4 linked regions of the Styela clava genome follow. The protein of the gene in region 1 purifies or fractionates together with the protein of each later gene. This does not show direct contact. Links are inferred from orthologs where the notes say so. Each region holds a gene or a part of one and is shown in the gene's direction. Other genes may lie near its edges. The genes, in order: exosome complex component 10-like, exosome complex component RRP46-like, exosome complex component RRP42-like and exosome complex component RRP41-like.

What was found.
Region 2: the proteins of exosome complex component 10-like (region 1) and exosome complex component RRP46-like purify together in Homo sapiens (co-immunoprecipitation; 8 studies listed by BioGRID and IntAct, with this or other methods). This does not show direct contact. The link is inferred for Styela clava from reciprocal best matches to the Homo sapiens genes EXOSC10 and EXOSC5.
Region 3: the proteins of exosome complex component 10-like (region 1) and exosome complex component RRP42-like purify together in Homo sapiens (affinity purification with mass spectrometry; 6 studies listed by BioGRID and IntAct, counting the BioPlex papers as one, with this or other methods). This does not show direct contact. The link is inferred for Styela clava from reciprocal best matches to the Homo sapiens genes EXOSC10 and EXOSC7.
Region 4: the proteins of exosome complex component 10-like (region 1) and exosome complex component RRP41-like purify together in Homo sapiens (affinity purification with mass spectrometry; 9 studies listed by BioGRID and IntAct, with this or other methods). This does not show direct contact. The link is inferred for Styela clava from reciprocal best matches to the Homo sapiens genes EXOSC10 and EXOSC4.

What each region holds. Positions count from the first base shown.
Region 1 is NC_135262.1:8,880,942-8,887,860, reverse strand, and holds exosome complex component 10-like, read left to right. Parts: upstream 1-3,911; 5' UTR 3,912-3,966; coding exon 3,967-6,348; 3' UTR 6,349-6,622; downstream 6,623-6,919. Other genes in the region: L-threonine ammonia-lyase-like, read left to right, coding at 1-87, 241-363, 671-849, 1,023-1,190, 1,718-1,898. UniProt on the Homo sapiens protein: Catalytic component of the RNA exosome complex which has 3'->5' exoribonuclease activity and participates in a multitude of cellular RNA processing and degradation events.
Region 2 is NC_135253.1:19,714,718-19,722,727, reverse strand, and holds the start of exosome complex component RRP46-like, read left to right. Parts: upstream 1-4,997; 5' UTR 4,998-5,028; coding exon 5,029-5,131; intron 5,132-6,102; coding exon 6,103-6,338; intron 6,339-7,198; coding exon 7,199-7,240; intron 7,241-8,010. Other genes in the region: uncharacterized protein LOC120326325, read left to right, coding at 1-1,482. UniProt on the Homo sapiens protein: Non-catalytic component of the RNA exosome complex which has 3'->5' exoribonuclease activity and participates in a multitude of cellular RNA processing and degradation events.
Region 3 is NC_135257.1:17,235,484-17,242,294, forward strand, and holds exosome complex component RRP42-like, read left to right. Parts: upstream 1-4,389; 5' UTR 4,390-4,613; coding exon 4,614-5,483; 3' UTR 5,484-5,689; coding exon of another isoform or gene 5,690-6,204; 3' UTR 6,205-6,300; downstream 6,301-6,811. Other genes in the region: katanin p60 ATPase-containing subunit A-like 2, read left to right, coding at 313-385, 1,342-1,449, 2,452-2,583; peroxisomal membrane protein 11A-like, read right to left, coding at 5,690-6,204, 6,301-6,416, 6,504-6,559. UniProt on the Homo sapiens protein: Non-catalytic component of the RNA exosome complex which has 3'->5' exoribonuclease activity and participates in a multitude of cellular RNA processing and degradation events.
Region 4 is NC_135257.1:18,366,731-18,374,502, reverse strand, and holds the start of exosome complex component RRP41-like, read left to right. Parts: upstream 1-4,755; 5' UTR 4,756-4,849; coding exon 4,850-4,990; intron 4,991-6,270; coding exon 6,271-6,324; intron 6,325-7,413; coding exon 7,414-7,574; intron 7,575-7,772. Other genes in the region: thiopurine S-methyltransferase-like, read left to right, coding at 91-786; thiopurine S-methyltransferase-like, read left to right, coding at 1,864-2,547. UniProt on the Homo sapiens protein: Non-catalytic component of the RNA exosome complex which has 3'->5' exoribonuclease activity and participates in a multitude of cellular RNA processing and degradation events.

The sequences.
Region 1 (6,919 bases):
TATATTGTTGTTCAGATAGGTGGTGGTGGATTGATATCCGGAGTCTCGGTTGCGGCAAAATATATAAACCCGAATGTCAAGATCATTGTAAGTTTAAAATCTAACTGAATCAAATTCGTATTATATTAAATCTATTTATGCAATGAACAAGTGCAGGAAATTGTTCTCTTCAGGCATTTAATTAATGTTTGGTTAGTCGTCGCCGCGCTAAATCCTTGATAAAAAGTTTCAAATTTTAAGGGCGTCGAATCAGAACGATGTCCAGGGTGGCACACGGCCAATGAGCACAGACGACCAGTCAGATGTTGCAGTACTATGAATGGAGCTACGCAATCGATTGCAGACGGATTAAACGTTTTGAGAGTAAGTGGTATCATGTTAAGCGTCTTTCGGTGCTGTGCCTCAGCTTTGAATTGTCTGCCGGTGGTTTTTCGTCACAAGTTTCCGTGTTCCCCATTTATTCATTCACGCGCGAGTGTCTGAAAATCATTGTTTCAGAACAATTTCCTTCAGGAAATTATGTTATACGCTTGTCTGGCTATAAGAAAAGTGTGTTATATCTGAATTTAGCAAAAGGCATACTCATGCCTTTAGTCGTTATTGATGCCTCACAAATAATTGAGTCTTTTTCCGAATCTTATAAATATCGCAATTGAAAATATTTGTACAGGTTGGATATAACTCATTTGCAACGGCACAAATTGATAAGCTCATATCAGTTCCAGAAAAGTATATTACTACAGCCATACTACATTTATTGGAAGGAGAAAAATCGGTGGTGGAAGGAGCAGGTGCAATCGGATATGCAGCATTGCTTTCCGATAAACTACCTGAAGTAAAGGGCAAAAAGTGAGTTTCGGTGCAATGTGTCAGTAAATTCTTCATTGTGTTTATTGTTTCATTTAATAATATGTATAGTACTGCACAGTGGCGTTAGTAGTTTGCTTGTCATTAACCTGAAATCTAACGATAGCGAAACTTGTGCTAATTGCGAACTGAATTTGTCCTTTTCTTTCCCATAGAGTTGTATGCATATTAAGTGGAGGCAATATAGATGCAAACATCTTGACACATGTCATAGATCGAGCATTAGTACAAGAGGGAAGGCTATCACGATTTTTAGTGGCTGTGACTGACCGACCTGGCGGTTTGGCAAGACTTACAGATATGTTGTCTGATTTAGGAGCAAGGTAAGTAGGCGTATACAGATTGTTATGGCGCATTGATTTTGGAATATTATTTTATGATCCGTGCGCAAATTTGAGAAGGAGCAAACGATTCTTATGTTATCTTCGAAGAAATAAATATATATATATATATAGGGCTCGAGTGGAATGTGAATGTCATTTACTTGAAACGGTTGTCACATTGGTACTCGAGGTGTATAGTGCATTTTCACCACGACCAAATAGCGTCTGGCCGAATAGCCACTATTGTTTATTGTACGGATAATGGGAATGATGAGGGATGATCTTCAAATGCTAACAGAGTCGGGTACTATACGCTCTGATATATATATTCATTAAAATCCATTTTAATTATAAACTGAGAATTATCATAATTATATATAGTCCACCCCTGAGCCAGCGATTGAATGATGGGATCTAAAGATTTCATGATTGGCATATGTATATTTATAATATTCTATATAGGGAGGCTGCATGATGTTTATTTGTTTTAATGATTTAATCACTGTCCATATATCATAACATTACAGCATCAAAGACATTGGTCACGACAGAATGTCTTTGCCTTCTCACGTCTACATGGCGGCAATTACCTGCACCATCGAAACCAGGAACAAAGGTCATGCAAAACTAGTCCGTGAACAACTAGAACAATTTTACAAAAATGACCTCAAGTGGCAACAATTTCACGATGACAACGCACTTCATTAAGAAACCAAAAGTGTCGATGAACAGTGGAAATATAGTAATATAATATATTACAGCAACATACACCTCAGAAAGCAGTGATGTTATCAGACGCATATATTTAACCAACTCTGCCTCCTAATCAAATCTACGAGTGTCCATATTTTGCACATTTCTGTGTAATTTTATAGACTTGATCGCGACCTTTTAGGTTATTTTTCCATTGCTTATCTTTTCATGCTTTATTTCTATTTACTTTATTACAACTGGAATCATAAAACAGTTTAATCAGCGACAGACCCAATATACCAATAGTTTATTTTTGAACTCGAAATCACACCATACATAGAAAATTGGCACAAACAGCACAAAACAATTTGACTTTTTGGAGTACTGCTGATTGCTGAAAACTAGACTAGACTTTAAAAACGAAAAATTACGAGCAGTCACACCTTAATAAAAAGAAATAAAAGCAGGTTTTATATAAAATCTGGCAGTCATGTTAATTGTTTTCAAATTCTTTTGAACCTAGCGTTTTCAACTGAAAAGTTCTCCCGTTTCATTCAGACATTTTTGCATTAGGTAGGGCTTTCATACTTATTCAGGAGCTGAGGAAAGCCGATAAGACAACTCAACCAAAAATCATATGACGAACCACGCCCACTTGCTCGTTCACGAGTCTATGTCAGGTACAAAAATAGTTTACTATTAACTTTTTAAGATGCGTTGATAGTGGATGAGGACCACCCTACGATGGTGAGGATTCCGCCAATCCTCTCGCCAACCGTTGAGGCTATCAAACAAACCATTCGTAGGCCATTGAATATCTACCATACCATTGTGTTGAAGCCATCCGGGGAATTCTCCTCACGAGTGAATCCCAATCGTGAGCGCATTTCGAAAACGAGAGGAAGGTCATTTTAGGCAGAGCACTATATTAATTATATTTAATCATATTACCCCTCAACAGCCACAAAGTATATCTAAACATAAAATTTTAATCCTGATTCCTGATCCTGAGTTTGTGTTGACTGGAAGTAATGATAGTGCCGCTGCTTGAAGGCAATACGAGGGTCCTCGCGAAATCTGTCCCACAATTAAAATTAGTTACCGTGATTTTTTATATTCAATGTTTCTCATAATGTTCTTATATTGTGTTGATAAATAAATGATTATCAATTGATTGTGAAAATGTTTGCTTTACCGGTGTGTATGTGCCTCACTTTCGCTATCATATGAAAGATCTGCCGAGTTGCCTCCAACTAACCCTTCATATTTACAAATGTGGTACTGGTACAGTTCACTAATTATAATAAATGCTTTTGCAAATAGCCTCTACATATACTTCTAATAATATATGTTCCAACTAAGTCAAAATAAACTCATAATGTACTTACCGCAGGATTAAGATTAAAAGGCATGACGTCGGTTTCGTGAACGGCACGTGCTTGAGTCTATTGGTCGAAAGGTAATGTTGCCGAGAATTTCTGGTTTTGTTGCAGGAGCATGTTTTCATAATTCTGTAATTTACCCGGGTTGGCGATTTTTTCTATTTATTTTTTTACTTCGAGACGTTTTCAAAATCAGCATCTCTAAACTAGAGTAGCGCACACTTGCTAAGTTAGGAAGATAATTTTTCTAATAGCCTAATGTCAGAATAGCCGAATAATTCGCTTTGCTCAGTGACTGCAATAAATATCAGAATATCTTGGGCTTGGGTGAATCTGTAGGCTAAATTGATTTTGCTACATACTGCTGTACTGACATACGGTACGGTTTTACTGTTAACCACAACATACATTCATATCTTTATCTGTATTGTATCCACTATCCTATCAAACGGTGGAACGTTAACCGGTTCAGACTGACACAGATATGCTGATACTGTGATATGAGATTTTCCTGCAGTCAGGCATTGCAGGAGTCAGGAAAGTCACGGTACGGGTACACAGTACGGACTTGAATCAACCACAGTCTGAGCGTACACCTGTACACAGATACCAGTAGATCTATACTTCAAATATATTGAGCCTGTAACTGATTATACGTTTTTTATTTCAGTATTTCAAACATTAAAAGGAATAACAGAATAATGGATGCTAATTCTGATAAAGGTTTTGCCAGTGGTAGTTTGGGTGATGTTGATGAATATTCAAAAAAAGTATTGAGTGCTTTAATGACAACTATCAAAGCAAGTAGTAGTTTGCCTCACTCTTCAGATGATTTCGACTTGTACAGCAGCTTTCCTGGTTTTCGCGCATTCTATAACAAACAAGGTTCAAGGATTTTATCAAACATCAACTCATTTCTACATCATCAAGGAATAAAGACTTTGCCACAAACTGATGGACAAACGAGTAGTGGTAATGTTGATGTAGATGATCATTACGATCGTATTGTTGAAGCAAATGACATGATGTTGGAACAAATATCCACATTATTAGAACAAGCTACTGCACCGAAAAAGGACAATTCACAACCAGATACTGATGTCGTTATTCAGCAACCTCTAGTTTTCATTACGAAAACTAAGCCGATTGTTTCGTCATGGAACAGAGAAAATAAATATGGCAAACAACAAACTTTCAAATTATTCCATGCACATAATATTATGAGGCCACAAACGAAATTCAAAGATAAAATTGACAACAGTAATCTACCTTTTGTTCCAAAAATTACAGAGAAACCAAATGCTGTGAAACAGTTACCGAAAGCTTTAGTAAATTTACATTCACAATCATCTGATGGTGGTGTTTCACTTGCCATTGTCAATTTGGTAAGACAAGGTAGAGAATATAACGCAGAAGATCAAAATATATATGGTCACCCATATGAAACGGAGCTTGCAAATTTGAAATTTTTAAACAAGCAGCTTCAAAGAGTCGAACCACAAAAATATGATCCTTTCCCATCAGAGCCATGCGAGGTTATCACGAATTTAAATGAACTGCTCGATGTTATTGAGCACTTGAAAACTTGCCCTGAATTTGCAGTTGATCTGGAACATCATTCCTATCGATCTTTCCAAGGTATAACCTGTCTCATGCAAATATCGTCGAGATCAAAAGACTTTTTGATCGATACATTAGAACTACGATCAGAAATTCACAGATTCAATGAAGTATTTACAAATCCTAATATTGTAAAAGTATTTCATGGTGCTGATTTTGATGTGCATTGGTTGCAGCGCGATTTTGGAGTGTATGTTGTTAACATGTTTGATACTGGTCAGGCCGCAAGAGAAATGTGTTTAGGGCATTTTTCTCTTGATTATTTGTTGCAAAAGTATTGTGATGTTCATGCAGATAAAAAATATCAACTTGCGGATTGGAGAATCCGGCCGATACCAGAGGAAATGAGAAAGTATGCGCAAGAGGATACTCATTATTTGTTATATGTGTATGATATAATGAAAAATGAACTTCTGGACTTGGGTGCCACAGGTCAAGCTTCTGGTACTGGTACCACAAGACTCCTCAATACTCTATATAGAAGTCGTGATGTTTGCCTACGAAAATATGAGAAGTTTCTACTTACGCCTACATCACATCTTAAATTATATGAGAGACGGAAAAGCAGAAAACAACTTAATAACAAGCAACTTGAACTTCTGAAATTGCTTTTTGAGTGGAGAGACACGATGGCAAGACAAGAGGATGAAAGCCCTGGTTACGTTTTACCTAATCATATGCTTTTTCAAATTGCTGAAATCATGCCCAGAGAGGCACAAGGAGTACTTGCATGTTGCAATCCAGTACCACCTCTTGTCCGTCAACATGTTCATGCAATTCATCAGTTAGTTTTGGAAGCAAGAGCAAAAGGCTCTGGTAAGAAGACAGATGCATCACATATCAGCACACCGACTGAAGTACCCGTTCCAGCAAAACCTGATGAAGATGCTTATGATGATATATTGACTTGCCCACATGACTTATCTAATTTTGATCTTTCTACACCAAACACTAAACATAAACCGCCGCAAGTATCGACTGCTCCACAATCGTCATTTCTCTGTAACGACGGTCGTCCTCAACCATTACTTACAGGTCAATCTAGTAATCCAACCAGTCATATGCAAGAAGCAAATTGGGATCCATTTTCAAAGTATTTTCCCCCTAAAAATGATTTGCCAAACGCACCAACAAAATGTATAACATCTCTTGACGATGTGAGCTTGAAAACAATGCTGAGTCTTGAATATGCTTGGAAATTGAAAAATCTTCATGGTGATAAACAAGAGCAAGCAGAAGAGAAGAAAGTTGTACAAAAACAAAAGCAACAAGAAGAAGATGTTATTATATTAAGTAATTTACCACAAGTTCATGGACAGAAGCGTCACCCACAACCAAATCAAGATAAAAAGATGTCGAGACATGCCAAAAAGAAAGCGAAGAAACTTGCAGTAAATTCGGATATACAACCATTTGAATATACCCAAGAGCATTATAAAAGATTCCATTATCATAAAAAATGACATTTTCGGACATTATCAACCTACTGTCATATTCTATTATGGAATTAATGTAATTCACAGCTGTCCGTAATGTGCTGAATAGTAGTGAATATGGAGAGATGCTATATCAGATCCGTCTGGAAGATAATAAGTGGTACAGATATTTCTCTGTTCAAAAAATTTTAATTTGGATTCACCTACTCTTCTCGACTGCCAAAATTTTTGCATGCACTGATTTAGTTCATTTAATGAAATTCACTGTCTTTTTGGCCAAATATAAAGGAAATATTTACAATTTTTCCTTCATGTCGCATTGTGGATAGTATGGCAAAGTATTAACATACCCTGTTGGTATTGTGTAGTTTTGGATATCAGGATAAGGGGGGTTTTCTGATAGACATTAATTTTTGTCTTGGCGAGTCATGGGGTATGACGCAGGGGCTAAGGGACACGAAGCTGGATAACCTATGGTAAAGTCGAGGTTTTGTTTGGATACTCCCGTAGTATGTGTACCGGATTAGGCCTCAATTTTCTTTATTTTAGTTCGGGACTGTCTTTGTTATCCAAGTGAATATCCACCCTGCCCATAGGG
Region 2 (8,010 bases), on another chromosome or scaffold:
TGTCAGCAGTATGCAGGTATGCCTAAGGTAGCTACTGGTGGAAATACAAGCATGCCAACTCCTACTAAATCAGATTCTAAGTTCTCATCTGCTATCACAAAGAAAGTCGAAAAAATTGGGGATCAAGCTTGTAATGATAATACAGACAAAAATATCCAGATCAAAGATACTTCTAGCGAAGACCAGACCACTGAAATGGGGATAAAAGATGTCACTTTTGATAGAAAAAAGCTTGATAAAAGCAATGACAAATCACAGGTTTTTCAAGAGATTCCTACAGGAACAGCTCCCAAAATTTTGAGTAAAAGTGGTTATTCTTCTGATTCTCAAGCAATCGTTAGCAATGAAACTGAGTCTTGCGCTATTGGTAATTTGAAGGACTTAGATTCAACAGAAGAACGTACAAAATTTAATAGTGATGTACGTGAAATTGAGAAGACCTCTTTAGGTTTCTCAGCGAGTAATAAAGCAGCTGATGCATCGACATTGAAACAGTCTGCACCCCAGGAATCAATGCAATATAGTGTCATAGACAATCCCAATCCTTTATCCCTAGAAACTGCCAATAAAGAGGAACAATATAGGACATATACAACTGTGGCTACGATTATAGAGGGTGTTATAACTGCCAATAAAGAAAAACTGGGAATAGCGGATGAAAAAACTTGTCCAAGTAAGCTTATGATACCTGCCAACATAATATCTGAAACAGAGCAGTCATACACACGTTTGCATGATAATCCGAATTCTGTTCAAGCAAGCAAACTGAATGTCACTTCTGTAATTGATGATGCAAAAAGTGTTATTTCAAAAGAATCGGAAAATAATACATCTACCAGTTCTTCTATATCTAGTCAGTCTGACACTTGTACAACTTCCAAAACTGTGACTAAATCCGGGGTAACTCTTGTTAAAAAGGGTTCGCAAGTTTATACAAAAATTATGCCATCTCGGCCATTCTCTGGGATTTCTCATTCACCACGAAGCGCATTTACTCCAGCAAAACATAGAATAACACCTGAACCTGGGAAATCTTCAATTTTAAAACGAAGTCCGCAAATGGATAGGCTTGCTGCTTTATCACATAGTAATCCCAAAGCACCACTTCTAAGATCAACCTCAATGCCTGTGTCAATAGAGGATGATAAAACTTCTCAAATACGACCACACAAGACTTTACTTCGAACTGGGTCAATATCTGATTACACGAAACAGAAATTGAAAAGTTCAATTTTGATGAGAACTTCAGCATCACTGGTGCGTAAACCAAGTATTACAGAGCACGAAATTGAACAAATTTTAACTGATCCAGAATCATCTCAATCTGAGGACGATGATGAAATTGAAAGGAACTTTAAACCACTTGGTTCTCCATCAACCTCTGCTTATACTTCAATAGATGTGATCAACAGACCGGTAGCAGTGACCCCTGTTTTGTCAACAAACAAGGACGTCCCAGTTTCAACTTCAACAATTACATGAGTCGTGGCTAGTTTTTGCGCTATCGAATCTGAATTTGATGTCACTCACCATGAAAGTCTTGACTACATGAAGAGAGAGAGAGAGATTTATTGTTCGTCAACCAGAAAAAACAAACTTTGCATCAATAGTTAAAATATACAGCAACTTAAGGAAAGGTTTTTAGCTTGATAGTCTGATGGAAAGATGAAGAAAAATCATGTCACAACAATGCAAATGGTATCATATGACATATCAGAACCTGAAATGGCCCAAATTTAATACTTAACTACTTCGCTCGACATCCCAATCAAACATCCATACTTCGAGTACATCCTGTAAACTTCGTTAAATAAGGAATGCCCGATATAATCTATCCAGTTATGTCTACAGAATGCATGCATGTATAATTGTACATTCATAGGATTGCAATATTACAGCTAAGAAGAGCAAAGATAAATTTTGTTTTATTTTTTTTTCATATGGAATTGACCGAAGCCTATTATTTTGTCCATTTTTGTATCATTAGCTATAAATGATAAATGTGTCATTTAAATATTCTCTATTTTGAATATAACCGATTCTGAATGTTTGATCAGCACTGGTATTCTTTATGTATCAATATTCTGCCATTATTATGAGGTCATGTAAGCGTGTCATCAATTTTGTTAAATACTGATTTTGTTTTGAATTGATGAAGTCATTTTTAGCCTATATCTGTCCTCCATTTCAGATGATCAGTAAATGTGCATAACATAATGAATAAAGTTTTTCAATTTGATTTTGAATATAATACAAAGATATTGAGAAGTATTGGAAATATATTTTTTCAGAGAAAAATTAATTTTTTTAGAAACCAGCAGTAGGTTTGTTAATCTGAAGAATAGTCTGAAAATACATTGTTTTTTTTTGACAATAACTAAGAAGAGTATTGTTCATGCAAGTAAATTTATTTTATTGTGATGCGATTTACTGTCATCAATATCTTATGTTTGTTTATATACCTTCATCAATAACATATAAAGGCTTAGCAATAAAGTCTTGATGTTAGTCATAACTCATAAAATAGAGCAGCATACCAATGCAATCAAAATAATTGATAATATTTAATTTTTCTTTTCAAATTTTAGATCAACTTTCGCTATATAATAGTAATATGATTTTTAACTGAGAAACTAAACATTTATACACACCATATTCTGTGTATACTGTATTTATGTATTTGAAATTCATTATTGTAAATTGGTATTCACTGTTTAATTGTTTGACAATAACGTATATGTGTCTCATACTGAACTGAGCAAATTTCGTACATCAACCCACCAAATGGGACACACATATGATCATGTGTTCAACATTTCTATCAATGCTATCAGAATGATAACTTTGGTTTTGGTGCAACCAACTGAAGTGGGTGCTATAGCCAAGCTAAAGCTTTAGACTTGATTATTCGGGCATCGCAGATTGCACCAGGGTTAGAAGCCCATGTGCACTAGAGATGTACCGATACCACTTTTGTCGCCGATACCGATACCAGCTAAAAACGCCGATACCGATACCGATACGCCGATACTACAAAAAGGCCGATATTACCGATATTCCGATACAGATACTATGTAATTATTACTTAATTAGGTATGCTGTGTAGGGCAGACGGGTTAAAACAATGGTCTTTAAGCGTTGTTCATAGTACACATTATTTCAGATCAAAAAAAAGATATATATATCACATAATATGAAATTAATGTTTGGTATCCATATACTGTAACTGATTAAGATACATTGTACAGTAACGCTAGTAATCTCGGTGTTTAATTAGAAAACTCATAAGCCGAGATGTCCAATTTGAATTTAATGTTAATATCGCGAGCTTCGAATATCGTTATTCGTGTTTAAAAGAATATCGAATATCACCCACACATTCTAGCGCCGCCGTCCTACGTTCAAATTAAAAGCATTTTACAAATATTTAATTCAGTGGCTAATCGTAATCGTCGACGCAATAAGTCAAAGCCAACATGAAAGAATATCAATCAGCACCGACAAAAAGAAGGCCCACCGATAACCGTTGAGGATGTTTTTTTACTTCACTATTTTATAATATTTTACAATTGCTATCTTATATTTTGAGACAGTCTAGGGCTAGGCGGTCAAGTCAATATATCTATAAAGAAATCGTGTAGTTAAGCAGAATTAAAATTAATACCTGTGTAGAGGGATAATTGTGTCGGAATTTAGTTTATCGATGTCGACGGACTAAATGACACTCGTACTTGACGACAAACAGTCAGAATTTATACCCGTGCCAAAAGTCCATGTGCCGTTAATAAGGAAGGACCCCAATTCCACTGCATGATTTAAAACTGGGCGCCTAGTTGCTTTTTGTTATGTGCTGTGTTGATATATTTCTTCATAAAAACTATGTAATATTAAAAATGTCAATATAAAAATTTGACAGCGAAAATAGCCAAATTAGTTGAGCTAGTTTAGCTGATAAATAGCTAAAAACATGTGAATCCTATTCTCTCGCGGGGGTGGGGACATGTATGGCTCACGATCTCTCCAGACAAAAATAAATTAAAAAGTAGTATTCCAACTTATCTTTTAAAACATTCTGGACCATATCAAAAAGGTAAATATATCGGTAATATCGGCCTTAATCTAACCGATACCGATACATGGCCGATACCAAAAAAATGACCGATATTGCCGATACCGATACCGATACATCGGTACATCTCTAATGTGCACCTAATGTGCACCCTAAAGTGCTAAGACTTAACTGTGCGGACATCTATAGTTACACTATGGTTCAAATCTCATGCTCACAACAATCTCACCCAGGGTGTACTACGTTGAATCTTGAAGATTCCAGTCTTTCCAAAAATAATAACTTCTCACATATTGCTAGATATCAGTGGGGTCTTATGCAGGGCCACATACAGAGCAAAGTGTTTCATTATTAAAATTAAAAATTTCCGAATGTTGGTTAAATTGCTGTCTTTTGCAGTTGGACATGCAAGACTAGTATCAGACAATTATGGTCTTCAAATGTAATTTCTTGATATATATTATAGCTTATTACTGCCATTATTTTATTTTTCTGCTTTTATATCTATGATAATGCTAGTTATGTTCCAACTATACATAGTTGATAACATTTTTCGCCTCTATTTAAAATCGGTTAGTTTACCAAATTTGCAAATTTTTTATATCTCACATTTGCTTTAGAAATGCTTGATCTTCAAATATTTCTTCTCAAACTGTTTTATGAAAACTTACTTAGATATGAAACTCCTTCTAAACTAAAAATTTTGCTCTTAGGCCACAAGAAAAATTGAACACGTTGGTTATGGTCAACATATCATTTTTTTCTATTGCTCTATTGTTTTCTAAAAGAAAATGCTGAGATAAGTTTTGATACAAATATTTAAGTCAACAAACCCACCGAGTGGACATTTTCCAATTTTGGTTCTACTGCTACATTTTTGCAATACCTTATTTATATTGTTCTGTTTTTCTTTATATACAAGGATTCATTGTAGTGTACATTGTGATAGAATAAAAACAATGAAGCAGAAAGAGATGCCCGGTATTACTGTTGACATGAAAGTTATGAGATGTGAACAAAATATTCTCAACAATCCTGATGGATCTGCTGATTACTCTGAAGGTTTTTCAATTTATTGTGTTTTTTTGTACTCTCGTAGTATGTGTACCTGATTAGAGTTGGACCATAATTTTATTCTGATTTTCCTTATTTTAGTTCTATTATGAGTTCGGGGACTGTCTGTGTTAGCAAAAAGAATATACTCCCTGCCCATAAGCTTTCATCCCTTCATACAAATTGATGTAACGTACCGGTAGGCGAATAAAATTAGTTACCTTCATATGAGTATATATACTTCTGGAGCGCCGTTTTTTTTATGATAAGATGTTTTAATCTGAGCTTAAATAGGTGTTTGCTTAAGGTTAGAAAAAGATTGGTGTTCTGATTTTGGAATGACAATTACTTTTCCACTTCCCACCAAATTTATTATATTACACATTGAGTGAGGTGCAGAATGAACCAATTGATTGATCAAGTCTTTCACTAATCGTCTTAAACTGTGAATAGCGACTTGATAAACTGTTAGGCAATGGCATATTCACATGGCCATGTTTGGTAATTCAGTAACAATTTATTCAAAAAATGGGATGCAATGACGGGACCAGTTAACAAGTTTTATATTTTAGAGATATTGCCGAAAACTTTTTGTCAGAATTATTCCACCTGCGAAATCAAATCTACTCGTCATCTCTGGGTAAAGGCAAAATATTCTTCCTGCAATCAAAAAGTCACATAATTTATATTCTGCTCTGAACATTTCACTATCCAGGATATCAAAGAATAATTAGAACAGTTGTTTCAATAGAGTAACTCCATGCTTCCAACAGAAATAGATATATAGATTTATTGATTTGCAACCAAAAATGAAAGTAAAAATACAATGAATGTACACAATGTTTTCCGGTAAAGACCAGAGGGAGCGATACCATACAACCATATGATCATCTAAGTCAGAGATGGCAAACTATAGTTCAATTGATCAATTCCAGATTTATTATTTGCTCTATTTTTAAACACATTCCATTTCAATTTAGGTGACACAAATGTCCTCGTTGCAGTTTATGGACCGGCAGATTGTCGAGAAAGTAAACAATTAATTGACAAAAGTACAATTGAAGTTTCATTCCGACCCAAAGATGGGATTCCTGGCGTTGCGGAGAAATACTTGGAACACACAATAAGGCATACATTTGAAAATGTCATCATGACACATCTATATCCAAGAAGTCAAATAATGATTATTATACAAATTGTTCAAGATTGTGGATCTGTATCCTTTATTAAAAACCTCAGATTTACTAATTTATTTTCATTTTTATGACGAATATTTTGTGTCTTTTGCTCTGAGCAGGGTACTCTCGTAGCATATGTGCCAGGTTAGGATTAGGTCATAATATTATCATAATTTTCTGGTTTTAGTTCTATAATGAGTTCAGGGACTGTCTGTGTTATCCAAGTGAATATCCCCCTTGCCCATGGGTTTCAGTCCCTTTACACAACTTGATGTGAAATAGGCGATCAAACTTAGCTACCTCCATATTGGTACACACATTCTTGGAGTGCCCTGAACAAGCCCATCTGTACTTGCAGACATTGATATCCGAGGTTATTTGAGAAGCTACTGATTTTAGGAGAACCGGAATTTGAGTTTTAGTAGACTTGATTATAACTTTGAGTTTAAAGAGTTTGACTGGTTCAAGCCAGAGATGCCTGGAACTAGAAGGAATTAAATATTCAAATAATTCGAAAATTAGTTATATTCGATTGAGTAAAGTCTTGATTTTAGGAATAATTCAGATTATATTCTTTATTAGCATTTATTATTTTATGATAGAGAAAAAAATTAGTAACTACTGACCAACTAAAATAGAGAATATAGATTGGAACAAATGTTAATTTAAATTCTACTGCATGACTGAATTTGATTTCTATGAATTTACAATTGTCTTTAAATATATCTCTTGTTGAACAGACCCATTTCAGAATGTATTTCATATTCGATAAGATTATTTTACGATGTATGAATTGTATTGAATAGTGGATACTAAAATATTTGGTTTTGGCCCTGAATGGTTCAAGACATTTCGATAAAGATTTGTCATCAAAGTTCCTTAACTACATTTGAAACAGCTTCTTTCTTGTGCTATCAATGGATGCAGCATGGCTTTACAGGTGTGTGTTTGATGTTTTTACTATTTAATAGACTTCTTATGCTCAGCCAAATATCAATATCAATGAATTCTAGATATTCGCATATGGCATATTCGGCTGAGCAGCGGGAATACTTTTGTAATCGCTCCTCTGATTACCCCGTTTGGATTTGCATCCCACAATATATGATGTGTGAGAGGATTTCTAGACTCCTCGGGTAAATTACGGCTTCCTCCACCATCAAGTCCTTGCATTCGAAACAAATGACTTGCTATCAGATCCAATACCAGACGTGGACTAGTGACTACTTGAGACTGTGGTGCGTTGCATGAATAAGCATTATTGTGGCTTTCTCCTCCCCCTGGATAAATTTGAAAATCCTGATATTAATGTGACACTCGGGGACAAGAAAACTCTGGATCGTTTTTCAGATAAGTTCTGGAATGTGGATTGGTATGTCATTGACAAATATAAATATGGTGAAAGTAATAAAATTATGGTTTCATATTTATTTCGAAATGCTCTAGAACTCCAATACGAGCGGTGCGTCCACCCTTGCGGGGTGGGCTCAAAACTTATCAAGAATCCACAATAAGCCTCAACAGTCCTTTAACACACATTTTTTTTATTTAAATATCCTTCGGCCCACAGTAATAATCAGAGGTAAATTGATTACTCCTGATGAAGATGAATAGAAGCTCCCCACCAAATATAGAACAAATAAGGGTGGTCATGTAAACGTTCTATCAAAGGTAATGGATTTGTGGATACTGCCGTAGTATGTGTACCAG
Region 3 (6,811 bases), on another chromosome or scaffold:
TTGAAAAGGGAGTTTAAATTTAGACCAAGCAAGTCAAACTAGTACAATCCAATCCAGGGTTTCTCTATATGACTACATTAATTCAAGGAAATTTGATTTGTCTATTTCTTCAACTAGGAGACATTTCTGCTTTTACTCAGGTTTTTTTTGCTATTTATTATTATACATGGCGCTTGAAATATTGGATGAAAACTAATTTAAACCAAAACTAGGTATTTTTGTTGAAGAACCAGCGGCACCAAGTGTTGAGAGTTTTTTAGTAAGCCACAGATCAAGAATCACTAATCCAACCAATTTCAATGTTCTTTTCAGGTTTCTACCTCCGAAAAATAGTGAAGGAAGTTTGATCATCAACACAAACCTTGATTACGGAGCTCTAGCTGAGGTGATTATAATTTATATTTTGGTTTAACTAACCAGTTAATTTGCCTTCCAATCAATTCAATCAAACTGGTGTAAATACCAACTGGTACTTCTTATTCAGATATTTATGTATAAATTTGTACATTTTCAAATTATTTTATTGTTGTTGATTTTTATTGAAAGCTAGAATTACTTGGTTTCATGGTAGAATGTCGAATGCCTGTTTTGAATGGAATATGAATGTCTGTATTAAAATGCTAGCTATACTGTTTTTCTTCCATTATTTGATGATTGATATCTGATTGTGCATTATTAGACACAAAATGCACTTATCGATTATTGTGCTAAAAATCGTTGTTGTTGCTTGGTGTTTTTTCTTGTTGTTGTTGCTTGGAAATATTCTTTTTCTTCACAACTATTAGGCCGATCGATTTCAAAAAGCTGACTCCTATGGAAACCCTTATGTCACCTATAATTATACTGTTTTATTTTAATTGTAAGTGAAGACTTCTCTATATTGTCACTCTTGACAACTTCCACCACACTTTTCCGATGATCTTTTCATAAAACTGTGTGTTCTGAGACTTTTCTGTACCAGTATCGATACTCCCATAGTATGTGTACCAGGTTAGGGTCAGGCCCTAATTTTATTCTGATTTTCCTCATTCTAGTTCTATTACAAGTTCGGGGACTGTCTGAGTTAGCCAAGTGAATATACTCCCTGTCCATAAGTTTCAGTCCCTCCACACAACTTGATGTAAAGTAGGCAAACAAAACTAGTTATCCCCATATTGGTACACATACTTATGGAGCGCCCAGTACCTATGTGCGAACTCTGCGCTCATATATTTCAGCATTGCTCTTTTGTTTCAAGGAATAAAGGAATTGTTTGTTATAAAGAGAAACTTCCATTAGTACTTCTTAGTTCTTTTCTCTCAACATCACCAGGCAATCAATTCACAATATTCTTTTTTTTAGAAAACTGAGGGATATTCTGGATCAGATCTTAAATTAGTTTGTAAAGAAGCAGCAATGCAAGTTGTCAGAAAAATATTCAATACCTTGGAGAATCATGTTGAAGGAGAAGTAAGTATAGAAAATTATAGGTACTCCTGAAGTATGCGCACCAAGATGTCGCATAACCTGAACCCTAACCTGGTACACAACCTGAGTTCAGGTTGTGCGCCATCTTGGTGCGCATATTTCAGGAGGTCCACATTATATTGCACATACTAAAAGAATTAGACAACAGAATAAAACAATTCCAGATAATTTTTCCATATGTTGGAAGTATCTAAGTTTAGGATTTGTTGTGTTACTATATTATATTGACTATAATTATCTTATCAATGTTTACCAAAGGTCTATTTTAGTTGTCGATTCGGAGAGAGACAGTTTATATGCTTCGTCAAACTTAAAACACACTATACACATATCTATAAAATATAAATAAATGAATGAAACATTTAAGATCAAGTTACCACACCATCATTATTGTGTTATATATATGATATAATTGCACGTGTATAAATTTGACTTGCTGCTTAGTTTGTTACTGCTATGGTGTCTTTGGTTTAAAAAGCTCGTTTCTTACAATAAAGTAGTGTTGTAATGGAAACTTGGTGCTTGTCTAAAAAGAACTAAAGGCAGTACACACAATAAATAAACCACAATGTTTTATTGAGTTCATCGGAGTATTGAACACTGTCTATAATCAATCAGTATACTCTTATATTTTCACACTATGTATAAATCGATCCGTGATTATTTATAAAAAAAGGATCAATTTAAACGCATATCAAGGCAGGGAGCTTCTCAGCAAATGAGAGCCATATCAAACCATAATGATTTGTTCATATCTGTCACACCCAAACTGCTCATGTTTTTGTCTACAACAATGTATGATCCCAACTTTCTTGTTTGAGTTTATTCCTCGAGTCCACAGATGTCATGGAATCATGCATTGTTAATAAGTCTGAAACACCAATAAAACAGTATTACGCTCAGGAGGCCACATAATCTCAGACCCTTGATAAGCTGTATTGCTTTTGTTTATATTGTATCCATAATTTATCTACTTTTCTACAGCAACTTCCAGATTTCACCCTGGACACTATATCAACAGCATGTGTTTTAGATGTTCTTATTCACACTAAGCCATCAACTGCTAAACTGAGCCACAAGTACAAAGACTGGCAAACGAAATATGAATCTGTGTAGTGATTTTGCGGTATTCCAGAGGAACAATTATTACTGAATTAGAAATTATTATAATTCAGTCAAGTATTTCATGACATATGGTCACACTTTATTCACTGTAACTAAGCAAGTCTTAATTTATTCTTGCTTAGTCAAGCCACTTGTACTGTGAAATTTAATTTAGTGCTGTTTAAAAATTTGTACACAACTTTACAATATTTTGTGCACTTTTTTAAAGTGGAAAAAGTACTATGTAGTATTATGTCCGCTTACTAATTGTCACATTTTTATAAGAAAATTTTAGTGATATATTTTCCTATTTCTTTTGTTAAAACCTCTTGTCTGTTGTAAAAGATTAAATTATTATCATTGGTCGTGATTATATGAGGTTGGTTTTGGGCACAGGTTGCTAAGTGTAGGAAATGCTTCATTTACGCTGTATGGGAGGGGGGGGGGTGGTTGCGGGACAATGATCAAGTCCATGCTTTCGAAAACAAATAACTTATTAATCCCATACCCGACTTGGAACAATAACCGGACGAGAGGCCTTGGTTCGCCATATGGATAACCCGTCTTATCACTTTCCTCTCCCCCGGGATAAATATGTAAATTCTATCCATCTCACAACCCAATAAAATCTAGATAAATGTCTAAGACTCATTTATCACGATATTGCTGAATCGGGAATTGTTACAGATGATGGTTAGCAGTGATTCAATATACAGTATAAGTTTGTCCGCTTTTGATTAATTTATAAGATAATTTTTAGCTGAATCGCTTAATTTTTTCACTGGACCAAATGGATATCTTCAGTCGTCTCGTTTTTGTAATCTCAGGTTTTGTTTGTCAGTTTTAAATGATGTTTCCAAATCTTTGTTATGTACAAGAGATGAAAATAGAATTAAACCTGTACATATGCTTAATGCGTCTGAAACAAATAACTGGCCACCATTATTCCATACCTGACATGTACTCGTATCCGGACGAGAGGCGGTGCTTCGCCATATGGTTGAGCCGTCTTAAAGCTTTTATTTTTTTTGAATTCAGCTTATTTACGCCAAATGATGAAAACCGGAGGCGTGTCTAGTAGTCTATCGCAAATTATTCGGGGCTAATTATTGCAACTAAACTGAAGGAAGACATAATAACAATTAAATTATTTGGTGACCGTACATTTGAACCCATGTACATTTGAACCCATGCGTATATCCACGGGTTCAATCTATATTCGGGTGCTAAAACCCATGGGTTAGGGTTAGTATGGGTTTAACTATCCGTGAAACAAAAAAAATTCCATAGGTGCAATAGCATACAGGTGCAATTGTCATGGGTTCAAATGTACGTGGGTTCAAATGTAATGGAACCAAATTATTTGAATTACGACTAATTTTTGGAGACACAACTGAAAACTGACAAAGAACACGCAAATGTCATCGTAGACATAATATTGATTGGACAAGGTTACGGAAATAAACAAGGAAACATCCATGGGCACAGCAGAGCCGTTATATAATGGCTCTGGGCACAGCACAATGAGCACATGGACATGAAATTTTACGAGATCAAAGGTCACGCACGCGGATTTCTTGTATTTGAATTATTTTTTTATTTGCAATCTAAGGTTGGGAGTGTGACTACGAAGAGTACGGTACTGTATCGCTGCTACCGCATTTTGCTCGTCTGTATCTGAGTCTCATTAATTAAGTTGTCGGCGAAGGTACGGTGCCATTTGTAGAGGGTTTTTGGCCTAGATTAGACTATTGTCTGGTAATACACTTACCGGTATACCAGTATACAGAAGTTATACCGTTCAGACGTTAGGTCTTGTTTTCATTCACGTCTTCCAGGTCCTCTGCGTTTTGTTTGTTGTTGTTTTGTTTTATACCAAAGCGACCAAAATAAAATTGATTGATTGACGGTATCTACTTATTTTTCTACTAATCTGCAGTTCTGTAACACAATGAGCGTGCGCTTAATGCTGTAATGTGAACTTAGGTTTCAATTATTACTGTAATAGGTCGAATTGGCGCATTCTACTCTAGTCTGCAAGAATGGCAATTGCAATACTTGGTGATGCAGAAAAGCGCTTTATAATTCATGGAATACAAGAAGATTTGCGGAATGATGGACGAGGTTGTGAAGATTACAGACACATTGATTTGGAAGTAAATCTTGTTTCTAACACAAATGGATCTAGCAGACTGAGAATTGGGAATACAGAACTTCTTGTGGGCGTGAAACTTGATCTCGAAATGCCACTGGCAAATTCTCCTGACCAAGGATTGGTGGACTTTAACATTGACTGCTCCCCAAATGCCACACCACAGTTCCAAGGTAGGGGCGGTGAAGATCTTGCCGCAACCATAAAAAGTTTACTAACAAGAGCCTATAACAATAATCTTGTGTTAGACCTTAAAAGCTTATGTATTGTGCCTGGGAAAAATTGCTGGTCAGTGCATGTTGACGTTCTCATATTAGAATGTGGCGGCAATCTTCTTGATGCAGTGTCGATTGCAGTCTTCGCTGCTTTGTTTGACACATCTATCCCAAAACTGGGAGTGACCGAAGGTGATGAGGGGGAGGTGGAAATTAACTTGCCAGATGATCCATTGGACAGTATCCCCATGAATGTGACTAATTGTCCAATTTTTGTGACTTTGTCAAAAGCTGGTCAGAGATATATTATCGACGCCACAGCCGAGGAGGAAGCATGTTGTTTGGCAAGTGTCATTTTATCAATTATGAAAGATGGCCGCTGTACAGCTCTGCGTAAAGACGGCTCTGGTAGCCTGGACCCACAGAGTATTAGCGAAATGCTAGATGTGGGAAAGAGAGTAGGAATGAATTTACATAAATCTATTTTGAAGTTTCTCAAAAACATGCCAGTTATGAAGTTTAATGACAAAACTGGTTTTCTTTGACTAAAACAATCTGCCTTTTCAGAAAATTCCCAATGCTAATGTTTCCCCATAAATATTACCTAAAATTATATTAGCATTCGTTTTATAATGCTTTATTTTGATATCAGATCAATCATACAAAATTAACGCTTCATTGAAAATAATTGCATAGTATGTATAAGTAAGAATTAGTAGGGGTAGATAGATAATAACAAGCATGTGCTTTGTCAGTTCGGCGTTAATTTCATGGAGGGTTTCGCTATTTGTACTGCAGCTAATAGAGAGGACAACACGCCACATAACCCAACGACCCCGTTATTGAAATTAGTGTATCCCAGACTGTTTGCGGGGATAACTATATCGAATCCATTTTTCAAAAGGTCGATTATTGCTTGTTGATTCTGCTTCACAAAATTGGAAAAGTAGGTCTGGAACGAGATGGATTCTTCGCGCCTTCTTGCATCTCTAGCCAATAGTTGCATATTGATATACAACGAATAGAGATCCCTTGCAAAAGCCATCATCAAAGATGCCAACCAAAACTTGTTCGCGCTCTCTGTCCACTTCTTCAGATCTGCGTGTACCAAGCCAACTTTCCCCATCCATATATAGTGGTCAATGAGAAGGTAGGCTGCTTTATTTGTATGAGAGGTAGTTAGTGTGAGACTCAGAACATAGTTTTGCAAATTTATTGCTCTCTGGGCTGCTCTGAGACTGTCCACACTTTTCCCAAATCTAAATACTGAAAAAAATGTATATTTTTTTTTTATTCAGTAAATTGAGCTTTGGTAATGTGAGATCTGTGTCTGTTGCCAGAATTATTAAAATATAAACTCACATTTTCTGGACGTGCTCATTAATTTTTCCAGCTCTATGAGCATGTTGACTGCATTTTCCTTATTGCCATTTCTCAGTAGATACCATACAAGAAATTTGCTGCCATATTGCGTGACTCTATAAAACATGTTGTATTCAATTACAAGAAATCCCAATTTCTGCACATTTACCTAAAAACAGTCTTGAGAAAAAACAATCAATTACCTATATAATTTGTCTCGACCAGCCGTCTTGTTGCAAAAAGCTAGGAAGTCATCCATTTGAACTTGACCTGATTTATTTTAAAGCTATAGCTCTGGAAATGAAAAAAAGCATTTCTGTCAAAACATCCCAGAATCACATATGTAAAAGGAGTGAATTATGAGGAATACATACTATACAGAAATATATAGTATAAAATACCAGTGGACAGAGGTCGACAATGCTAGGCGCAAAACTGATTTTACTTTTCACTTTACAAGAAAACTCTGCTTGATAAAGTTATTTCACAGGGTGTTTTCACTTTGTGCATG
Region 4 (7,772 bases), on another chromosome or scaffold:
AATATGCATATATTTTCTGTAATAATACTATGAATATGTTGATGCTTATTTTAAAACAGATAGAACAGTTAATTATTAGTTATATTTAAAATGTCAGAATCAAAAGAGATGCAGAAGGGAGAACTCGCTCCTACAGAGTGGATATGGAATGAAGATGAAAACCCACCTTTTCATAGGACACAATACGCGCCTATGCTGGTGAAACACTTCGACTGCTTATTTGCCGATGGTGAAACAGGCCGCGTTTTTGTTCCGCTGTGCGGAAAAACTCTGGACATGATATTTCTAGCTGATAAAGGGCTTGAAGTTGTTGGATTGGAGTTCTCAGAAATCGGAGTTGAAGGGTTTTTCAAAGACAACAATTTGACCTACAAGAAAATGGATGTTGTAAATCAGCCTTTGGTGCAGTACAAATGCAACGAGAAAAATATCACTATTTACAGAGGTGATATGTTTAATTTGAACCCAGATGTCTGTGGCCAATTTGATGGCATTTGGGATCGTGGAAGTTATGTCGCAATCAATATCCCTACTCAGCAGAAATATGCTGATATTATTTTACAACTGATGAAACCAGAGGCGAAAATATTGATGGAGACTTTCACTTATGACACGTCGAGATACGGTGGACCTCCACATTGCATAACCTTAGAAAATTTACAAAGCACTTTTGGGTCAAAATGTGAAATTAAAGTTGTTGATACAATGACCATGCTCGCACATCCCGTTTTCAATGCAGGAGATATGATTATGACTCTTCCCTATTGTCTTCTTTCAATGAAATAAAGTTTTAAATTGACCATTGTGAATCAGATATAATATAGAGAGTCATGAAGTGTTGAACAACTTACAACTTTACTTTTAATCCTGGTTTCTGATTAACATGTTAATTTATTAAAGAACATAAATTAGTCAACATTCTGTAGTATCATTCTGATTTATTAAGTAAAATTAATGTTTGTTGTTTTGATTGTGGGAAGGGTAGTGCAGCCAATCAAAAGGTGTACGTCTATTTCTTATTAAAATCAAATTTATTCACGTTTTTGTCCAAATAATGTCGGTGTATTTTATAGTAATACCAATTTTAATTCAAAATAAATCTTATTTTATAAATAAAATAAATGAGAACTACAAGCACAATAAGATCGATTAATATACAAAGACAAAGAAATTTTTATTTGTTGATACTATAAAATCGGGAGAAACTTTTTGGACACCTGTATATTTCTAAATTGCTTGCTTTTTATAAGTATTTGTAATAAATACTTGTCTCACTCTGAATCGTTTACTAGTCAAAATGCTTCCTATAGAATATGAATATAAAGTCCAATTTTCTTCAAAAGCAGTTTCATATGTTTTAAGTTTTCAAATTTTATTTCCATTTCATAGACTATGAAGTAATATCTGTGTTTGAAATTTTTGGTTGATTCTACTGTATTTACATGCACTAAATATGTAAACCTTTTTTCTAAATAATTGCACTATGCAGGATGATTTGACATATATTTTTCCTTGTCTTGTATTCATATCATGATTTAGTAAAAAAGAGTAATAGTACTACCGTATATCCTCACATATAAGCAGAGTTTAAAACTCGAAAAAAAAGTTGCCAAACTAAGGCTTATACGCACATAACTCTGATCGCACTCAAAGGAATTGACGATGTTTTTCACGATTATTTACCTATGTTAACCCCAGTGATCAATATAGTATTTCATGATATGAATAACTTCAATAATGTAGGTCAAGAAAGCTCTTCATTCATAACTAGGTGCTAAGTCTTATTAATATTCATATATATTGACTTAATTTTATATATAATTACAGACCTTAGAAAGTAAAATATCACTATATTCTACAAACATGGAAACTAATCCTTTACCTAGGAGAGAAGTGGCCGTAGATGAATGGAAATGGTCAGCAGATCAAGACCCGAAATTTCATAGGAAAAATTACAGTCAGTTGCTAGTGAAACATTTTGAGAAACTTTTTGAAAATGGAACGACTGGACGTGTTTTCGTTCCACTTTGTGGAAAAACGATGGATTTGATTTTCTTGGAAGAAAAAGGATTAGAGGTGGTCGGTCTTGAGTTTTCAAAAATTGGAATCGAAGCATTTTTTGAAGAAAATAACTTGACATACTCAGAATCAACCTGTTCTGATAGCTGTCTTGTGGTTTACAAATGTAAGGAGAAGAATATTACTATTTACAGAGGTGATATTTTTGATCTAAAACCAGAATTATGTGGTCAGTTTGATGGGTTCTGGGACCGCGGAAGTTACGTCGCGATAAATATTCCCACTCAGCAAAAATACACAGACTTAATCTTCAGTCTGATGAAGCCAAAAGCAAAAATCTTGATGGAATCTATCACTTATGATATGTCAAAGTGCAAAGGTCCACCTCACTGCATCACGATTGAGAACCTTCAGGGCACATTTGGGGAAAAATGTAACATAGAAGTTATTGATATGATAAAGTATCCGGCAAATTTCCAACCAGATTTGGAATTGACAATTCGACTTTGCTTTATTTCTTTCAAGTGAAATAAATAAGTTGATTTTATAATATTAATAACAGTAATTTTGTGCAATTGCTGATTCATTACATAATTTTGTGCAATTGCTGATTCATTACATAATTTTATGCATATGGTTTTTCATTAAATAATTAGCACCACAGCTAGATTGATAATTTTTTTTTTAAATCCTTCCTTTGAACATTATTATCTAATGCAGGGGTGTGCAACCTTGAATACTGGATGGCTAAATGAAACTAACTGGGTTAAACTGCAGGCCACACCTTTATTGAAATAGACTCTCTAGTGATGCAGCCATGCAGGCTTAAAAATTTTGGTATTTATCTTACGACATGCGTTGTTCGCACAAGCTAGCTGTTTTAGGGGCATTGTAACGTCATAAGCATAGATAAAAAAAAAAATTGGACTCTGGTATTGACTTGGGATTCTTGCACGTATCAGATTAAACTAAATTAAAAACTTTTGCGGGCTGCGCAATTTTTCCTTGTGTGGCTCACGGGCCGCAGGTTACACACCCCTGATCTAACAAATTAACCTCACCCTCCATGAGATTTCAATCAGCATTTTATTATCTCTTGTAATGTCACTCATCTTGCCACTTCAGAATTTTTAATATGTAAATAATGTAGGAAATTGGAATTAGTTTGATTTTAAACTGGATATCGTTGTTCAGTATTTATCTAATTGGTAGAAACGGTGGTAGGGTCTAGGGCAGGGCAACATCCGGCCTGCGAAATTTAAGCATTTACCCCTTTTTCTTGCAACCCTATAATTATAAGAGCTTTTCTTATTTTTGTTTTGTGCAATCCCACTTGCTGTTGTCCTAGGAATATTAAGCGCAATATACTGGCATCCCTGTCGAATGGAAATACTCTAAATTTGGCCTGAAGTTAAAAGTTTGTGTATGGAATATGATAAAAGACCAGTGGTTTCCTAAACGTTCACGGTCCATGGCTGCATTGCAATATTTTAAACACTTGTGTGACCTGCTTTTCAATATTAACACCTAGTTTTGATTTTAACTCGTTTCTATCAGTTCAATACGGTGCAATGTTCAATACTGTAAAGACTACAAAAGAAAGCAAAATAATAAATGTATTGCACATGAAGAACTGTTGTACATGTTTTGGGCATCTATGCGTACAGTGAAATTACATTACATTGCAGAGCAAATATTATATTATATCTTAATTTTAATTGTTCAGTTTTTTTGATGTTGCTATTTAACTAAGTTCACAAAACTGCATTTTACAGTGTAATCGTCCCTGCATTTATACTGTATTTGTCTGACAGAATATTTATTAACGTGAAGTATATGATATTGCAATTCATGCCAAAAATGCAGTTTTTCTTGGTTTTAAAAACCTAATATTTTGAAATTAATTTTGTCCTCAGATTCTTGTGTGCTTACATGCCAAAATTGTTTCATTTTCCTGTTCATTTCTAATATGATACCTTCACTCAGTAAATGCAAAAGTATTAATTGATAAACAGTGTGTTTATAAAGTCCTGTTGCAACCCAGATTTGTTATGATGTCAGTTCTTAATATTTCTTGGCCAAATTTTGTTTTATTTTAATCAGTGATTAATTAATTTTTCCACTTCGTTTAATAGGCTTTCTTTATATTGTTCAATTTTATCAGAAATATTCAAATCATTTGTTCGATCCTATATGACTAAATGAAGTGGCAGACATGACCCTGTGGTCCCCAAGCTTTTTTTAAAAATATCACTCTATCGATTTTGGAATTTTTTATTTCTTCCTCACTATGTCACACTAATTGTCCAATCTTTAATGGATTCTTTGCTAGTGTTACGCATAAGTAATGAGGCATGAAAAAAAATCATAAATAACCATACACTTGTTGCTGAGTATTTTTGATGTTTTTTGCAAACCCTCGTCATTTGCAGCTTTAATATTGTTTTGTTTTATTTATCTATTCGTATAAATTTAAGCATTTTTGACCAAACCTAGATGAAAATCTGATTCTGTCTCGCAGACACAGTGCCATCCATTTCTCAGTGAATTTACATTATGTAACAGTAAACATATTACGTTAAAATACTCAAATACTTAAATACCCAGGGTGTAATATAAAAAATCGGGGAGGAAATGCAGAACAAGAAATATTTGTGTCCTTCCAGACTATACTTCCCTACCTAGCAGTATGCAACAATATACGTTGTAAAAAACAATACGTTGTATAAAAAATAGTACAGGAAAAATATTTTAAAGCCATTATGTTTTTAAAGTTCGAAAACAAAAAATTTTCATATTTTATTGATCATATTTAATCCAGTTAATAACTATGGCTGGTCTTGAATTGGTAACTGATGAAGGGTATAGAATTGATGGCAGACTACCAACAGAACTACGCCGGATTCGTTGTCGTCTTGGAGTGTTTTCACAAGCCGACGGTTCGTCCTATTTAGAGCAAGGGAACACTAAGGTACATGAAATTGGTTATATTTTTTTCTATAAAGACTTATTTTATCTAAGTTCTACTCAAACAGCTCCTTAACGAAAAAAACTTTTCAAATGAACGGAAATTTCCTGCTTTGGGATTCACTGTCTTATTTAGTTTATTTTGGCCAGACCTTGATCAATTCAGGTCCATCTGTATTCCGAATCGATTTCTTGGTATAAATTGAAGCTCAAAAGTGTCCTTCATAAAAGTTTTGAGGTGTGGTGCATTTGGCTGAGGCATGATAAAGGAAAAAATTTTCAAATTTATTTTAAGATGAGAGTAAAGTTAATAAGATGGCCTAATCATATGTCAGTAACTGACTTATGTATATACCAGTCCAGCGATCCCCTCGCACTAACTTATCCTCCACGAGATTAAAACATTGGAACTCCTAATGGGTTATAAGCAGTAGTGGGATTCAGCCAGTTCGCACCAGTTCTATAAAACCGTATCACGGAATTTCATGAGATCAGCGCACCGGTTAGGATTACTGGTTACTCCCAATGACTTTTGCGCGGCGGTGTGGCTCAACGAGCTAAACGTTAGGAATACGCTCGCCACCGCACCTCTAACTACTCTGCGTGGGTTCGCAGGTTCGAATCCCATGCAGGGATGGTTATGTGCGAGAGGATTGCTGGACTCCTCGCCGTCGTTGGGTGGTTCATGTAACCGCTGGTCGGTTACGGCTTCCTCCACCACCAAGTCCATGCTTCCGAAAACAAACAATACAGTAAAACTAATCCCATACCCGACTTGGAATGGTAACCGGACGAGAGGCCGTGGTTCGCCATATGGATAAGCTGTCTTATCGGCTTTCCTCTCCCCCGGGATAAATATGTAAATCCTATCCTATCCTAACAGAACCAGGTGAAAAATATGACTTTAGTAATGGAACCGGCTGACAAAAATATTGAATCCCACCACTGGTTATAAGTAATGTAATGACAAGCTTAATGTGCCAACCGCCGAGCCGGTTACAATCCTAAATGAACTCTTTATTGCAATTTACATATATTTTATAAATAATTATATCATGTCACAAATGTCACATACATCATTTGTCCATTTGCACTTCACAATAAGTTTGAGTAGAATATGTGATAACTTTGAAAAATGTTATTATTTTTTTTATTTTTATAACATTAATTGGTATAAGAATTTCATTAATAATCGATGCTTAATCATTTGGTGAACCATGGCCTCTCATCTCCATCATTGTATAACAATGAGCCGGTTTATAATTTCAAAAATTAAATTTTCAGATATTAGCTGCAGTCTATGGACCACATGAACCATCATCTAATATGAGAGGACAGGTAAGATAATAAGGATTGAGTTGAGTCATGAAATCTTCATGTTGAGGTGTAAGCTCTTCACGAAGCTTTGAACAGTATTTAGGGGTGTAAAAGCCAGTACAGGGAGTCCTCAGGTTACAGCGGTCGCGACTTACACTGTTTCGATGTTACGCACTCCATAAAAATATAAAAGATAATACTGTACTGTCTGTAATATCTAAGCCCTTAAACTGGATCATTGTGATCAAGAAATCAGTGCTTTGGACTCATTATTTTTTTTTTTTACACCGTGAATGACGTGGACAATTGCAAGTATTACGATTATGAACAAATAATCACTAAGCTTCAGTCGCATGGTACACAGTTTCAGTGATACTGTTCGCCATTTTGGTTGTTCCGACTTGCACTGAAATTCGGGTTACATCGCATCACAAGAACGGAACAACCTCGTAAGTCGAGGACAACCTGACAGTATGTGTTCTGGAGTTTTTCTCTTTCTCTCAAGGCTCTGGTGCTGGTGCAAAAAGGCTTTGGGCAAACAACTGATATACAGTTAGAAAGGGGAATGCGGACCTACTATTTTCAATCAGTGGTGACTAGGCCAGGGTTTACTCGAACTAGAGGCTCAGATTCACAAAGAAAATTTGTGACTTGCGCGTAGGGCTGAGAAGCCCAACTACAAAGATTTAACAATTAATCCGACATTCTAATTTTTAAATGTTTGGCACAACTTTCAAAAATATTAATATTTTTATTTTCCCACAGCTAAAAATTGTGGAAGATAGAAATGGGAATTACCAGCAGTCACGCTGTACAGATAGATACTTGAGCCTCTTTTTCCATTTACTCCAATCATCTAACAAAATAACATGACTAATCGCCATAGAGACTTTTATTTGGGACTCGAAGACATTGTTGTTTACAAAACTCAAGAGTTGAGTATAAATGCGATTTGAGGAAATTTGCTGTGATTGGTCTTGGCTATTGGTTTAAGGACCGTAAACTGTCATTAAATTTACCTGAGAAATATCTTTGAAAAACCCTGATTTCGCTTGTATGAAGATAAAAGATAGTTGAATACTTTCTTTATTATTATTTATCTATCCACAGATTCTCAGTGACAAAGCATTTCTGAACTGTGAATACAGTCAAGCAACATTTAGTACTGCTGAGAGGAAACATCGGTCACGCGGGGACAGAAAGGGTCAAGAATTGTCTATGCACATTAAACAGACTTTTGAAGCTGCTATTTTAACTGAATTATATCCAAGGTGAGAAAAGTTAAAATCGGTTATCAGTTATGTCAAAAATGGATTGAATATTCAAATTCATTCAACATTCGAATATTCAATTTACTAGTACTTTATACCCGATTTCAGCAATAAATTGAGAAATCTTACATTTGAAAATTTCCTGATATGTCATGGTCGAATGAAAAATTGAAAATCCTAACAGTAAAAGAACAGAAA